2 linked regions of the Sus scrofa genome follow. The protein of the gene in region 2 binds, or shares a complex with, the protein of the main gene of each other region. Links are inferred from orthologs where the notes say so. Each region holds a gene or a part of one and is shown on either strand. Other genes may lie near its edges. The genes, in order: AKAP17A and TTF2.

The links.
Region 1: TTF2 (region 2) and AKAP17A share a complex: the UniProt entries of both Homo sapiens proteins name them as parts of the spliceosome. The link is inferred for Sus scrofa from reciprocal best matches to the Homo sapiens genes TTF2 and AKAP17A.

Annotation. Positions count from the first base shown.
Region 1 is NW_018084901.1:899,059-902,505, reverse strand, and holds part of AKAP17A (A-kinase anchor protein 17A), read right to left. Parts: intron 3,109-3,447; coding exon 2,960-3,108; intron 567-2,959; coding exon 326-566; intron 1-325. UniProt on the Homo sapiens protein: Splice factor regulating alternative splice site selection for certain mRNA precursors. Mediates regulation of pre-mRNA splicing in a PKA-dependent manner.
Region 2 is NC_010446.5:103,631,710-103,635,319, reverse strand, and holds the end of TTF2 (transcription termination factor 2), read left to right. Parts: intron 1-195; coding exon 196-270; intron 271-2,062; coding exon 2,063-2,207; 3' UTR 2,208-2,943; downstream 2,944-3,610. UniProt on the Homo sapiens protein: DsDNA-dependent ATPase which acts as a transcription termination factor by coupling ATP hydrolysis with removal of RNA polymerase II from the DNA template. May contribute to mitotic transcription repression. May also be involved in pre-mRNA splicing.

The sequences.
Region 1 (3,447 bases), on a different chromosome or scaffold from region 2:
CTAGCGCGGCCGCGGCCCCTGGACCAGGCTCAGCCTGTTCTCCCGCGGGGGTACCTGGCGGAGCCCTAGCTGAAGCCGGAGTGGGAGGAGCCCCGGGGAGGGCGTCGCTCTGCGGGCCCCGCCCCTCCCAGCCTCCTAGCGGAGACTGGAGGAGACCTTCCGCTCGCAGAGACTGAGAGCATGCAGGACGCAGCAGATGCAGGAAGAGAGGGCGGAGGCTGCATGGGTCTCAGGTCCGCGGACGCGGCGCCGCTCCCTCCCGCCTCCAGGCTGTGCTGCAGCAGCCAGCGGGGGTGGGAGCCCCGCAGGAGCGCCGAGGAGGTACCTTGGCGCGGCTCAGCAGCTCCGCGATGAGCCGGATGGACTGCAGGTTGCGCTGGGCCAGCAGCAGCTTGCGCTCCTCCAGCCGGATCTTCTCCTGCAGCTTCCGCTGCTCCTCGGCCTGCAGCTTCTCCAGCTTCTTCTGGCTGCGCCGCAGCTCGCGGTCTCTCTGCTTCTGCTCACGCCGGCGCAGCTTCTCCTCCCGCTTCCGCTCCCGCTCCTGCTCCTCCAGCTCCTTCTGCTTCCTGTGCGGGACGCAGGCACCAGGGCCTCAGCGGAGCCGGCGGGGACGCCGCGGGAAAGACGACGTCGCAGCGTCTCACCCCCACGTCCAAGTCCAAGGACGTTAAGGAGCGCAGAGGCGCATGGGGGCGGGGCGGGGGCCATCGCCTTGCGGGGCAGAGTCTGGCTAAGTGCGAGCCCAGCCCGGACTCCATGGGGAGGGGGTACAAGACATTGGAAAATGCAGCTTGGAACAAGGCCCACCCCCGCTGGTGGGCCGCACCTGCACAGGACACGCTGCCTGCCCCACACAGCCCAGCCGCCCAGTGGAGTGGCTGCAGAGGACACAAACGAGTTTCAGGGGCGGGGGCGCCCCTGCCCCAGATGTTCCCACCGGGGACCGTGCCCACAGGAAGGCTCTGCCAGCACGGAGCCAATGGCACGACCCTGCCGCGGGATGCTGTAGAACAGGCAGACCACGGTAACAGACACCCGACCCGCTTTGCTGGGGCCCGTCCCTAAAGAAGGGGGAGCGGTCCTGACAGCAGGACAGCTCACACCACCTGGGGACACCCTGCGAGGTCACCACGGGCACTACCTGCAGGCAATGACTGTGCCACACGCTTACACACCACACACACCGGCTTGGACCCTACCATCCTTTCTGGGGGGGGGTCCCCCAGATGAGGATCGAAGGCCATCAGGATGGCTGGAGACCCCAGGGAAGGTGTGGAAGACCAAGGGGCGTCACACTGTACGCCTGCCTCCCGAGTGCTGGGGCTTTTGACTTCTCCAGGAACCTGCAGGGCGGGGTGGGGGCGGAGGGGCAGAGCCCCCGGCTGCTCAGGGCAGGATGCCACCTGGGGGAGCCCTCTGAGGCCATGGGGGCACACGGCTGCCAGGGGTGCTGGAGCCCCGGAACCAGCCAAGCCCCCACACAGAGGGAAAGGCCGGCCCAGGCTCACGTGGGAAGCAATGAGGGTGACAGCAGCCAGAAGGCCACATCTCTGATGGTCCCTGGCACCAGGGGTCCCCTAAGAGCCCCAGAGCGCCCACGGCTCTAAACTGTGGCTAAAGGCCAAGTCCAGGAGCCTGACTGCGGATCCAGACTGAGCCCGAACACCCAGCACCTCACCCGTGACAGAGGACAGACCCGGAGGCTCCCCAGGCCTGCCCGGCTCCGCCTCGCGGCCCTGCCACCTCTCGGCCAGTGTCATCCCAGGCGGCAGCAGAGGCCACGCCACCAGCTGTGAATCCGTGTCCTCAGCACACCTCGGGGACCCATCTGACCCTCTGTCCTCAAAGACCACTCTCGGCCCAATTCCCTGCCCTCGTTTCTCCACCAAGCTCGAGGGAAGTGTCTTTAACGGGACCTCAGAGCTGCTTCTGGAAACGCCGTGGGGCGTGTGGCGGGCTCACGACGCCGACAGCACAAACTGCCACAACCCGAACCTCGACGACGCCCTGATGAAGGAGACGGAAACGCCGAGGGGTAACGTCTGCGATTCCTGGCCTGCGATCAAGGGCCATCTTGGGGACGCGAGGACAAGGCCCGTTGGGGACCCGAGCTGGGGGGCCTGGACGTCCCTGAGCCTCGCCCAGGTCGAGATGCAAACAGCCCTGTGAGCGCCGCCGCCACCGCCGGAGGACAGCCACGCGGCACGCACACCCTCGGCTGGCCCCACGCCAGCCTCCCTGCGGGCTCCCGATCCCCGGCCGGAGCCTCCCCGGCCAGCAGGCCGACCCCCTGGGGACGTCCACCGGCTGCGTCAGGAGCAGCAGCACGGGCTGGACCCTGACCCTGGTTTCCCCACCAACTGCAAGGACACCTCGGCACCTGTTCCTGCCGGCGGGGAGAAGGGAAAACAAACAGGAAGCTGACAGCCCCGCGAGTGAAGTCGGCTCAGCCAAGAGGTAAGTGGAGAGGCTGATAGGGAAGGAATCGGCCACAAAAGTCCTAAATCGGCCAGACAGAAGCCCTGCCCGTGACACCTTGACACCCACCCACCCCCACCCCCACGCCAAGAAGCACCCAGGGCACAGCAGCCGTGACGGGACAAGGACGACTGTTCCTTATCTCCTGGAGCCCAGGGAGTCTCGCTGGGCAGACGTGTTTACAACCCAGATACACCGCCCGGCCAGGGAGACACGGGACCTGACGCTGCCTGTGAACCGCAGTCCCCCCGAAGGCCCTGAAAGACACTTGCTTCGAGCCCGCCCGTGCCGCAGGGCCTCTACTGCTCTTTGGGACGGCAGCTTCGGCCCAAACACAACCCCTGCAAAGCAGCCAAGGCTCTGCCAGTCTCTGCAGGAGCCCTGCTCAGCCCTGGGCGGCTCGGAGGGAGGCCGGGGCCAGGCAACCGGGCGGAGGCCGCCGCCCACGCAGAGGGGTCCGGCTCACCCGGCCAGCGCCTACCTCTCCTCGGCCCTCTGCCTCTCCTCCGCCTCCTTCTCCCGGCGCTTCTGCTCCTCCCGCTGCTGCTCCAGCTCCTGAAGTTTCTGCCGCTCCAGCTGCCGCTTCTTGATGGAGGCATCGCTCAGGTGTTTGGTGGAATCGAAAGAAACCTGTAGGGAAGGGCGCAGGGTGGAATGACCTGGAGGGCTCCTTCCGCACACGAGGTGGATGCCCCCTGACTCATTTCGGAGAGGGGGCTCCCGGGCCCCCCCGCACACACCTGAGTGAAGGTGCGCGTGGGCCTGACGCCCCAAGCTGAGCTCCTCCCAGACTCAGGCTGGGAACTCGGACGCCAAGGGCCTTCAGCAGGAGAAAAGAGCTAAGCGAGGGGGCCCACCAGCCCCCCGGCCACCTGCCGCCTCGCACACACCAGACCCCCCACTCCCCTGCGAGGCCAGCTGCCCTGTGGTCGCAAAGCCAGCACGAGTCAGTCCCCACTTGGCTGATGG
Region 2 (3,610 bases):
CTCCATATGCTGCGGGAGCGGCCCTCAAAAGGCAAAAAGACAAGGAAAAAAAAAAAAAAATATATATATATAAAACAACCATTCTTAGCTTGTGAACCATACAAAGACAAACTGTGGACTGGATCGGGTCCATGGTATTTGCCCACCCTTGGTCTGGGATGTCGGCACCTCTGAACTTCACTTCTCTCCCAACAGGAATCCATCACTTGAAGATCAAGCTTCTGACCGAATTTACCGGGTGGGGCAGCAGAAGGATGTTGTCATACACAGGTGAGTAAGTTACGGTCATCGAGAACCAAGTGCTGCTGCGTGAAAATCTGCTTTGGGTCATATTTTCCCAGTATCTAAAATATTTGATGGTCACCTTAGCAACAGCACCCATGGGTCCCATCCTCCTTGGTTCTCAGTCAGGGAGGGAACACAGGCAGTTTGGGGGTAACCTTGGAGTTGGTCCCTGCAGAAGAAGAGAAGCTTATGTACAGGGCGAGCCTCGTCTCAGTCAAGGCAGCCCACGAAATGACTCTTCTCTCCCTCTCGCTCTCCCCCTCTCTTTTTTTGCTTAACTTTTATTTTGACGTAATGTCAGACATATAGAAAAGAATGTAAGAATTATTACAAGAATACTGCACAGTTCTTGAATGCAAGAATAATACAAAAAATTCTTGTACACTGTGACACATGTGTGTGTGTGTGTGAGTGAGCTTTTTTCTGGACCATTTGACAGTGAGTTGCAGACCTGATGCTTCTTTCCTTCTAATTGCTAGAACAGGCATTTCCCTGACAATGACATTTTCTTACATAACCATGAGAACATGACCAACACCAAGATGCTAACAATGACACAGTACTGTTATCTGATCTGTGGATCTTATGCAGCTTTGCCACTTGTCCAGGTGATGTCCTTTCCAGCAGAAGAATGCTCTAGGTCCTGTGTAGCATTCAGTTGTGTTGACTCTTTTGTCCCCTTTAATCTGCAGCGGTATCTCAGACTCTCTTTGTGTTTTAGGATAGTGACATTTTTAAAGTGCACAGGCCAGTTATTCTGGGGAATGTCCCTCTCCTTGGGCCCCTCCTGTCTTTAAAAACAATGACAACACTTCCCTTGACCATACAGTCCACCCTAGCCAGGGACTTTTTTCTCCCTTCCTTTTCGTTGCCAAGTTTCCTGAAGAGTTAGAAATCGTCGTCTGTCTTTTCTTGCTTATTTCCCATTCATTCCTCACCCTTTACAAACTGGCTTTCATCCCTGTTGCTCCGCGGAAGCTGCTCTTGCTGGGGGTGGGGTGGGGGGCATCCGTGAATTCCAAACTTTGCCAAGCAAGCAGTTATGTCAGTTGTTCCGTCTGTAGCTCTCAGCTCACTTTGTATGCACCTCTCTTAAGAATCCATCTACTGCAGTGAGTCCAAAATCTGTATTTTCCATTCTAAGGTCTCTTAAACTTCAGGCCTGCAAATCCACATCCCCATAAAGTATCTGAATCTGGGAGTTCCCATTGGCTCAGCGCTAACAAACCCAACTAGTATCCATAAGGACGTGGGTTTGATTCCTGGCCCTGCTCCGTGGGTTAAGGATCTAGCGTTGCCATGAACTGTGGCGTAGATCGAAGACGCAACTCAGATCTGGCGTTGCTGTGGCTGTGATGTAGGCCAACAGCTCCAGCTCCAATTCAACCCCTAGTCTGGGAACTTCCATATGCCACAGGTGCGGCCCGAAAAAGAAAAAAAGAAGCATAGGAGTTCCCATTGTGGCTCAGTGGTTAAGGACCCTGCCTAATCTCCTTGAGGATGTGGGTTTGACCCTGGCCTCACTCAGTAGGTTAAGGATCCAGTGTTGCCACAGACTGTGGCGTAGGTCACAGATGCACTTCGGATCCTACGTTTCTGTGGCTGTGGCGTAGGCCAGCAGCTGCAGCTCTGATTCCACCCCTTAGCCCGGGAACTTCCATATGCTGCAGGTGCAACCCTAAAAAGAAAAGATCCCAAGCATAGGTAGACATTTGAATATGTCATTAGATATTTAGCTTTGGGTTTTTGACTGTTGGCTTACGTGTCTGTTTTTCAGATTTGTTTGTGAAGGCACAGTGGAAGAGAAGATCTTGCAGCTCCAAGAAAAAAAGAAAGATTTGGCCAAACAGATCCTATCAGGATCTGGAGAATTTGTTACCAAGCTCACCTTGGCAGACCTCAAAATCCTTTTTGGCATCTAACTTCATGTTTCTGGGGCTCAGAATAGTGCTACTGTTGGTTTGTATTAGGGTCTGGGCATAACAACTAAGAAGCTTTGAGCTCTCCTTGGCATTTCACTTCACTGGCAACTTACCCTGTTAACCAGTTGGGCTTCAACTTATTAACGCATCAACTTATTTAATGAGTGACATAGAAACCAATAAATTACTTCAGATAAAATGCTTTAGGGTTAGATAATTTGGAAAACAACTCTGGGAGAGTGGTACAGCACAGAGAGCCCTCTGTCGCCTCCCTCTTCCCAGCTGATGCGGGAGCCAGTGTTCCTGCCTTTTTCTAACACAAGCTCCATCCCATCTCCATCTCTCCTGCCAACAAGTCTGCTCCAACCATTGCTACGGGCTGAGCCGAAGTGGATCCCTGTGGCCATTCCTCTGTAGTAGTTTCCGTCTAGGCAGTTCCTCCTCTCAGGCCTAAGGTCAAGGAGGCGCTTGGTACATGATATATAGGTCATTGGTATTTGTATCATCATATCATTTAGAATTTGCTCTCCTGTCATTATATCATCTTGTATCACTATCATATCATGTAACATTTATGTCATATAATTTCCCTTTGGTATCATTTTTATAGTATTTGTATTTTTACAGATTTACAGTTAATCTGTAGCACTTGGCATCATTACTTCATTTAGTGTTCTTGTATCATTTAGCATTTGTATTGTCATTGGCATAATCCAGTAAACACGTGTAGCCAAGATAATGCTTCGTGTTCACTAACCTCCATTTCCCTTCCCTCCTGGCCACCAGAGCCCACATTTCCTAGTCTTCACTGCAGTTATCCAGGCCCATGTTACTGAGTTCTAAGGCAGTGGGATATGGAGAGAAGGGAAGTAAGTCACTTCTTATCTGCCATCTACAACTTTGCAACTGACTCACGTTGCCTCTTCTGTGGCCCACTCCATACGGAGGCCCTGGTGGAAGACGACAGGGCCCTAGAGAATTTGAAGCCACTAGATCAGAGATTCTTCACCTGCTGTTGGCCATGGACCTTTGGTAGACTGGTAAGCCTCAGTTCCTGAATGAGAGCAGATCAAAGCCTGCCCTTCTCAACCCTATTGGACTCTGACATGACCAAGAAAAATTTTTTTTTTTTTTGTAAACTATAAGATTTGGGAGTTGTTCATACAGCAGTTAGTATCCTGACTCATACAGACTCTTGAGACGCTCTTACTTGGGAAACTCTTCAGATTCCCTTCTTCCCATTAGCAGTCATGTCCAAAACCCTCCCTCTGCTGATTTCTACTAGGAAGAATAGTACTTCTTTCTAGATAGAACGATTGCCCTCCTTTGCATGAGGATTCGAAGACAAAAGCCCGTGCTGGCCCAGTCACAGTTGGGACTGAGGCACTGGGGTCTATTTAGAC